2 linked regions of the Ovis aries genome follow. The protein of the gene in region 1 binds, or shares a complex with, the protein of each later gene. Links are inferred from orthologs where the notes say so. Each region holds a gene or a part of one and is shown in the gene's direction. Other genes may lie near its edges.

Region 1 (4,361 bases):
AACCAAAGGCCTCCTCTCCCAGAGTCTAAGCATTCCTTTCCCTACTGCCAAAGCTGTTCATTTTAGTGCATAATTGGAGCTCTGATTTTGATATGGCCAAAGGGTTTGCCACTCCTTCCCTCACTGTGTGTTAGTCACACAGGCGGATCCAACTCTTTGGGACCCCGTGTACTGTAGCCCACCAGGTTTCTCTGACCATGGGATTCTCCAAGCAAGAATGCTGGATTGGATCGCCATGCCCTCCTCTAGGGGATCTTCCTGACCCAGGAACAGAACCCAGGACTCCTGCGTTGCAGGCAGATTTTTTTATACTACTGAGCCACAAGTGAAACCTCACTACCTGGTGTGAACTCAGAAGTCAAAACTTAGATGGTTTACATTGTAAAAGCTTTGAAAGTTGTTCTACTGTAATGTTTCTGCAGCCATGAAATTAAAAGACACTTACTCCTTGGAAGGAAAGTTATGACCAACCTAGACAGCATATTAAAAAGCTGAGACATTACTTTGCCAACAAAGGTCCGTCTAGTCAAGGCTGTGGTTTTTCCAGCAGTCATGTATGGATGTGAGAGTTGGACTGTGAAGAAGGCTGAGCGCCAAAGAATTGATGCTTTTGAACTGTGGTGTTGGAGAAGACTCTTGAGAGTCCCTTGGACTGCAAGGAGATCCAGCCAGTCCATCCTAAAGGAGATCAGTCCTGGGTGTTCTTTGGAAGGACTGATGCTAAAGCTGAAACCAATACTTTAGCCACCTCATGTGAAGAGTTGACTCATTGGAAAATACTCTGATGCTGGGAGGGACTGGGGGCAGGAGGAGAAGGGGATGACAGAGGATGAGATGGCTGGATGGCATCACTGACTCGATGGACGTGAATTTGAGTGAACTCTGGGAGTTGGTGATGGACAGGGAAGCCTGGCGTGCTGCAATTCATGGGGTCACAAAGAGTCGGACACGACTGAACGACTGAACTGAAGTGAACTGAATGTTTCTTGATTCACGCTGCAGTAGAGAGAACTGGGTGGGCGCACAGGCCGGAGACTGTAGGTACAGAAACCTGGGCCTCCAGGGGTAGGTAGAGGGTCGGGCAGATGCTGCACTCATCTGGAGAGGCGGTCTCAGGGGCTGGCCTACTGGAGAACTACATTTCCCAGGAGCACTGGTGGCCTGGCGAGCGAGGCACGCGCCCTGAGCGGGCGCACTGACTCCAATCGCGCGGAAAACACGCCAGCCTGATTGGAGGTCGCTGTCACGGAGCATCCCGGGGCTCGGAGGACAGCGTGCGCGCGGAGGCCACCTTCTTTGTGACTCGCGGCGCCGCTGGGGCCCGCCCCCCGGCGGGGCCGGATCGCACGCCCTTGCGCCGCGCCCGTGGCGGGGGCGGGGAGTGGTGGTGGCTGCCGGCGCCTCCCGCGGGGGCGGGGCGGCGGGTTTCGCGTCGACACCGCCTTCCTGCCCCGCCCCGCGCCGGCCCGGCCCCCGCCCCTCCTTCCTGGAGCCGGAGCTGGAGAGGCGGCGGCAGCGGCGCTGGCGGCTGCTGCCGGGCAGGGGGGGCGGCGAGCGGCCCGCGCGACACGCGCCGGCCCGACCCTCTGCTGTGATCTGCGCGGCGCAGGGGGTCCGGCTCCCTGCGGCGGGATGTTCTCCCGGAGGAGCCACGGGGATGTGAAGAAGTCCACCCAGAAGGTGCTGGACCCCAAGAAGGACGTGCTGACCCGCCTGAAGCACCTGCGGGCGCTGCTGGGTGAGGCGCGGCGCGGCCGAGGGCGCGCTCCTGCCGGGATCGGGCGGGGGTCGTCGGGCTGCGATACCGGGCCGGGGGAGCAGACCCTCCGCGTGGGTGCCGGCGTCCCCCTGAGTTGTAAACTTACCCCTCCTCCCCCGGGGCCTCGGAGCCGGGCTGCGGTGGGACGGTCCCCTCCCCAGCAAACCCTGGGGGTCGTCGCACGCACCCATCGAACTGTCATCTCCCCTCCCAGTTCCTAATTTTAATGTTTGAGTCCGAGACCCTAAGTGGTCCCAAGTGTGGTCCCAGCGCAGACTGAATTGAACTGTCATCTCCGGCCCCCCACCCCCACCCCCCACCCTGCCACTTTTAATTTTACTTTTTTTTGAGTCTGATCCTCCAGTAGACTGAGCCTCCGAATGGCCTCGGGATAAATTTAAGTGTCACCTCTCTTCCCGTGGATCTGGTTGATTCGGTTTCTTTGTGTCCATGGTGTGAAGGGGGCTCCTCGTGATTGCTAGGAGGGAGGGGTGACTTTCCTGGGTTCCAGGAGGCTGCTTATGCTTTATTGTCAAGATGACCCTGACGGTTTTGTGGCTTCTTGCGTTTTTGTGAGCCCATTGGGTGGAGGAACTGCAGACCCCAGGGTGGGCCTGCACTTGACCTGGGATGAAGCTCACCCCTGTGGGTGTCAAGTGTTCCCAAGGCCTCCGTTCACCTGCCACCTGTGATCTGTAGCCAGTTTGCTCCGCTGTTATTTGTTTTCTCTTCTACCTCCTTTAGTTTTAATTTTTGTTTAGAATGTAAACACCTTTACTGTCTATACTTCTCTTAGTGTATTTGGGGGCTATGAAAAAGATACTTTGTTTCTTCTAGATGTCTTTTTTTCTTCTTGAAAGGAGCAAAATCACCTGATTTAGGGCACAAAGTCTTGATGTGTCTGTCACTTGAGGAAAGAGCATAAGAGAATTCATTGTATCCGTGAGAATTTTAAATAAAGCTCTTGTTCATGAGATTAAAAGTTGCAAATGATTTCTATTTATACTGTGAAGTACCTCTAAGGAAGAAAAAGCCACACACCTAGTTTTGCCAAGTGAAGTTTTTCACATTCTCAGATTCCTTGAGATGCCACTGCCGGCTTGGTCAGTTTAGAATAAAATGTAAATTAGGTACTGTTAGAGGGATTAGCTTTCAAGACTTTTGAAAGTGAAATGCAGTCTTCTTGGTAAACTGAGCTTTCTACTTCCTGTACTGAAATACCAGGCACACACAGGTTGTATTGTGTGGGGCTCTTTAGTGACTGATTAACACCTACTGCAGGGACATTATTGATAATGGAGAGCAGAGCAAAGAGGTATTTTAAAGCAGTTGATGCTTGGGGACTTACTCTGTGGTAGAGAACTTGAATTTGTGTTCAGTCCAAGTGTACAGGATTAAGTTGGCTACATTTTACAAAGGCAGAATCCATTAAACCTAGATGTTGGGTTTCTTAGAGACACATAGTACCTTGTTACCGTTCTGAGAAAGTAATTAATTTTCAAGGCCCTGTGGTTTCACTTGAAAGTGTCTGATTTTGAGGAACTTTGTTTTGTCCTTTCATTGAGACATCTGACCTCAGTTTTGTATCCTGGAGGGGCCCTTTCATATTCCTTATGTATACTGTTGTTGTTGTTATTGTGGATTGGCTTGGTGTACTTCGTTTGTTACTGTAGTCTTTATTTGTAGGGGCTAGATTTTTGTGCACATGTCTGAGGCATTCTGATTCATACTGTTTAGTGTAAACTCTTGCCTACAACTGTGGGTTTAAAGGCTTTAAAGACAAATAGTACAGCAATGTGGTAGTCCCACCACATCACATACCCTATTGATTTGCTACTTTATGGAAAAGTCTACTTAGAAAAAAAGACCTTCTGATCTAAAAGCTAGGACTTAGCCAAGATCAAGAAACTATTTGAATCAGGATTGACATACACACACCCAGGTGGCTCAGTGGTAAAGGATCTGCCTGCCAATGCCGGAGACACAAGAGATGCAGGTTTGATCCCTGGGTTGGGAAGATCCCCTGGAGCAGGAAATGGCAACCCACTCCAGTTTTCTTGCCTGGAAAATCCCATGGACGGAGGATCCTGGCGAGGTACAGTCCTTGGGTTTGCAAAGAGTCAGACACAACTGAACACACACGAACATATATGCAAGATAGATTAACTAATAAGGACCTACTGTATAGCCCAGGAACTCTACTCAGTACACTGTAATGTCCTATATGGGAAAAGAATTTTAAAATTCTTTTGTATATGTATATGTATAGCTGATTCAGTTTGCTGTACAGCAGAAACTAATGCAACATTGTAAATCAACTATACTCCAATAAAAATTAAAAAAAATAGAAAAAGACCAGATTTGTGTTTACCAGAGGCAGGATGTTGGGGGGAGGGGCCGGGGGAGGGGGGAGATAATTGAATGAATGCAGTCAGAAAGTACGAACTTCCCGTAATAAAATAAATGACTAGGAATGTAACGTGCAATGTGGTGACTGTCGTTAACACTCCTGTATGTTATATATGAAAGTTGTTAAAAGAGTAAGTCTTAGGAATTCTCATCCGAAGAAAGAGCATTTTTCCTATTTCATTACTTTTTATCT
Region 2 (3,777 bases), on another chromosome or scaffold:
CTCCAGAGGGGCTGCTCCGGGAGGCGGGGATGGGGGGTGCTGGCGGGCGGGCGGGAGGCGAGGGTGGCGGCAAAGGGAGGGCAGGGTGTAGCCTGGGTTAGATGACTTATTTTCATGTTTGTTTTTAAGAAAATGAATGTTTGCGCATGGTTCATAAATAAAAAGTGTACATCAAAAGGACTCCAGTGAACTCTGGTTCCCACCTGTCCTCAGCCATCCATTTCTGGCACCCAAGTGTGTTTTTTAATATTTTCCCACCTTCCTAGTCGAGGGGCACCCTTGCAGTCTCTGCATATAAATACAAGCAAATAGAAATGCACATATTTTTTCTTAGTCTTCTCTGTTATGCCTGAGGTGGCTTATGGTTCTACGCCTTGCATTTTTCATGTAATACACCTTGGAGTCCTTCCCTAGGAGGACTCAGGATTCCTTTTTTTTTTTTTTAAGCTTGCCTCGTATTCATTGCGTGACTATAGATGTATCATATGTAACCAGCCTCCGGTGGCTGGACACGGGTCACCTCGGGTCACGTGCTGTTATGAACCATGCTACAGTGACTAGTCTTAGACTTTTATTATTTTGCACATGCACTTTAGCAGATAGTTGAAGACCCACCAGCACAAGTTAGGAGCTTGAGTCGAGGGTGAAGACGGTGCAGAGTTGCCCGCTGTAGGGAGACAGTGAAAGCGCCCGTTGTGCAGTCTTGACAACCCTGTGCCTAAATGTCTGGATTTCGTGCCTCTTCTAGGTGAAGGGTGTCTTCGTAGCTTCGTTTTTCCTTCATGTGAAGGAAGTTGAACTTCCTTTTGACTTAGTTTTAAACTGACCGCTCTATGCTGACTCTGACCGTGGGGGACAAGGTGCGAAGCCGCGTTTAGTCCCATAGCTCGCTCTCAAGCACACTGACCTTTAGTGGTTAGCGCTGAGACCGCGGCGGAGGAGTCTGCACAGGAAGTGGCCTCTGAAGCTGGAGCAAGACAAGGGATGAGGGCAGAGAGACCGGAAGGCAAGTGAAGTCGGCGCTTGAAAAAGGAGGGAGTGACCAGGCTGTTAGATGCTGAAGGCAGATCAACAAAGTCAAGTCGTGTTTAAACGCGGAGCACCTCAAAGTCTGCTGGACCGGCTGTGAGGGAGCTGAGCACAGCAAACAGCTCAAGAGCCTGGAGTCAGAGGGTAGGTGTCCTGTCCCATAGACGGGGCAGGGCTTCCCAGGGGCGCAAGAACCTAGTCAAGAACCCGCCTGCCAGTGCAGGAGACCCGGGTTCGATCCCTGGGTGGGGAAGATCCCCTGGAGAAGGACATGGCAGCCCTCTGCAGCATTCTTGCCTGGAGAACCCCATGGACAGAGGAGCCTGGCAGGCTACCGTCCGTGGGGTCGCAAGAGAGTCAGGACTGAAACGACTTGGCACACAGCGCAGAGGGAGACGGGGGCTGGAGAAGGATGTTGGGAGGGTTTCTCAGGTGAGACAGTTGTTTGTGTGCGGGATGGCGCAGCGGAGGGGTGCAGCAGCGAGGGGACGGTTGGTGGAGCGACACCTGATCCAGAGGGTGCACGTGGGCTTAGAGGATGCGGAGGGCTGTTAGGTGCGGTGGTGGAAGTACACTTGCTTCTGGCTTCTGAAGCGTGCCGACGGGTCATCCGCCCGACTGAAGGCATCCCGCCGGGGGGGGGGGGGGGCGTGTGGGGTGACCAGGGGCCGCAGAGCGGCGGGGACGGGGCAGGGGCGGCGCGCAGCCGAGGGGACCCCCTCCCCGCCGGCACCGCAGGGCAGGGCCTGTCCCACTGGCCGCAGGGGAGGCCTCTGTGCAGACGCCGGCCGCGGGGGCGTCTGCGGGCAAAGCGCGCCGCCTCTGCAGTCGGGAAGAGCCGGCGACAAGGATCGGCGCAGGTGAAGCTGGGCGGGGGTAGCAGCGGCCGGGAGGGCGGCTCCTGCTGAGAAGCAGGCGTCACAGGCCGGCCAGAGCGCCTCTGAAGGCGGGGCGGCCCGGGGCTCCGGGCTGTGGCCCCGCCGCCTCCCCACCTCCGGCTTGAGTCAGCTTGGCGGGCCTCTCAACACCCGGATGCCGCTTCCTCCCCGCGGCTTTGGCTGCCCTGTGACTGCTGCCTGCGTCGGCCGAGTGTGCCCAGCGTGGCGAGTGTTCCACTGAGAGAAGGCTCGCTCGCCCTGCCTTTAACGCAGTGTTCCCGTTGGGGCACGCGCTCAGCAGGTACTTCAGTGCCTGCCTCAGGCGCTTTGCTGTGATTTGAACGTGAGTGGAGAGTCAGCTCCCCCGGGTGCAGACCTCTCCTGGCTCCGGGCGCCCTGTTGTGTTTTCAAGGACATCTCACCCATTTCCCAGACAGCAGGTAAGAGCTAAAGTGAAACGCGGGCACGCTCCAGTCAGACTGTTATCTGTACCCCAGGCAGCAATCTCCCGTCTCCCTTCCATTCACACCCCAGGTTATTTCACAGGTTACAGCGTCTCACAGCAGCCGGTTGAGCATTCCTGTTTTTAACAAAATGCACAAAGAAAGCGGTGAGGTGCTGCCCTGCCGTCTTACCACGCAGGTCACGTCTGAGAAGCAGCTCAGATAAAGCGGCTTGTTACACGGCACAGTCTTCCTTCTCCGTTTGGTCTAGGAGCTGGCGCTGCAGTGTGTGACCTTCCCCTCCGTCCCTCCTCCAGGTGGCGATCGTTGTTCTAGGGAACAAAATCGACCTTTCGGAGCAGAGACAGGTGGACGCCGAGGTGGCCCAGCAGTGGGCCAGGAGCGAGAAGGTGCGCCTGTGGGAGGTGACAGTCACCGACCGCAAGACCCTCATCGAGCCCTTCACCCTGCTGGCCAGCAAGCTCTCGCAGCCCCAGAGCAAATCCAGCTTCCCTCTGCCCGGCAGGAAGAGCAAAGGCAACTCGAGCGCGGAGAACTAGAGCTTGAGGCGCGCCAGCGCCCTTCAGTCGGGACTGTCTCTAGGTGTCTGTGAACGTGTTCAAGCCAGGCCGTTTGCGCCTGCCTTGGTTCCTAAGAAACCTCTGATGCACTTTCACTTATCATCAAGTTACTCGGGCCAAGTTGTATTGCCTGATTTTAAATCATGCATTTGCACCCTCCTTGTTTGAAACTTGTCCCTGAATCGAGCACCTGTGCTATTTACATCACATTGTACTTGAATAAAGCCCGGCTGTATGCAGGTGACTGAGTAGCTCTACTCACCTTTAACCTTTCTCAGAAGCGGTCATCCTGTGTCACTTTATGCAGACTTCTCGTCGTCTCATGTCTAGGGCTCTAAAACGACACCTCACATGTGTCCAGATTGGATCACAGACAGTAAACTACTGGAGTACTGAGTTAAGCTAAACTTCATCTGGTGGAGATCTTGCTAAAACAGAACAAAGTGTATGATTTAACTTTGTTGAGGTTGTTTAGCGTGAATTGAGTAGGAGGTGTAAATACGTTCAAACTGGTTCTTCCTTCTTTAGGAAGCTGCTAAACACTAGTAAAGCTTCCACTGTGAACAAGTCACAGTTACCTAACTACTTGGAAGTAAGCAGCAAGCCAGTCAGTCATTTCAACCACGAAAGCAGTTAACTATTGGTTTTAAATGTGAGATAAGTGGCCCAACAACAACAAAATAGTAATTTAAAAGGTCTAGTAAACAGTAGTTATCTTGAATACTTTCAAGATGATGAACTTCAGTGAATTTAAACTCAGTTGGCTGTTAAGTGACTGCAAGGCAAGAACTACGGCATATAAGATACAAAACTTCCATGCTGGCAGCACTGGCCGATTTATAATTA

Evidence for each region.
Region 2: the proteins of RALGAPA2 (region 1) and NKIRAS1 are in contact, whole or in part, in a crystal structure (PDB 9QU1), measured with the Homo sapiens proteins. The link is inferred for Ovis aries from reciprocal best matches to the Homo sapiens genes RALGAPA2 and NKIRAS1. Residues at the interface, in NP_065076.2 of Homo sapiens: Pro20, Lys21, Tyr51, Ser52, Gln53, Phe56, Tyr59, Glu60, Ile63, Arg99, Phe102, Arg103, Trp104, His105, Tyr106, Gln107, Ser108, Lys185, Ile186, Tyr187, Pro188, Glu189; in NP_001364280.1 of Homo sapiens: Lys6, Glu22, Leu24, Leu25, Tyr26, Glu34, Met39, Glu40, Asp41, Val42, Tyr43, Met44, Ala45, Ser46, Val47, Glu48, Lys54, Gln56, His58, Tyr60, His74, Tyr75, Ser77, Phe78, Lys108, Thr162.

The regions. Positions count from the first base shown.
Region 1 is NC_056066.1:39,733,975-39,738,335, reverse strand, and holds the start of RALGAPA2 (ral GTPase-activating protein subunit alpha-2), read left to right. Parts: upstream 1-1,482; 5' UTR 1,483-1,632; coding exon 1,633-1,738; intron 1,739-1,817; exon of another isoform or gene 1,818-4,361.
Region 2 is NC_056079.1:41,396,164-41,399,940, forward strand, and holds the end of NKIRAS1 (NF-kappa-B inhibitor-interacting Ras-like protein 1), read left to right. Parts: exon of another isoform or gene 1-2,667; coding exon 2,668-2,910; 3' UTR 2,911-3,211; downstream 3,212-3,777. UniProt on the Homo sapiens protein: Atypical Ras-like protein that acts as a potent regulator of NF-kappa-B activity by preventing the degradation of NF-kappa-B inhibitor beta (NFKBIB) by most signals, explaining why NFKBIB is more resistant to degradation.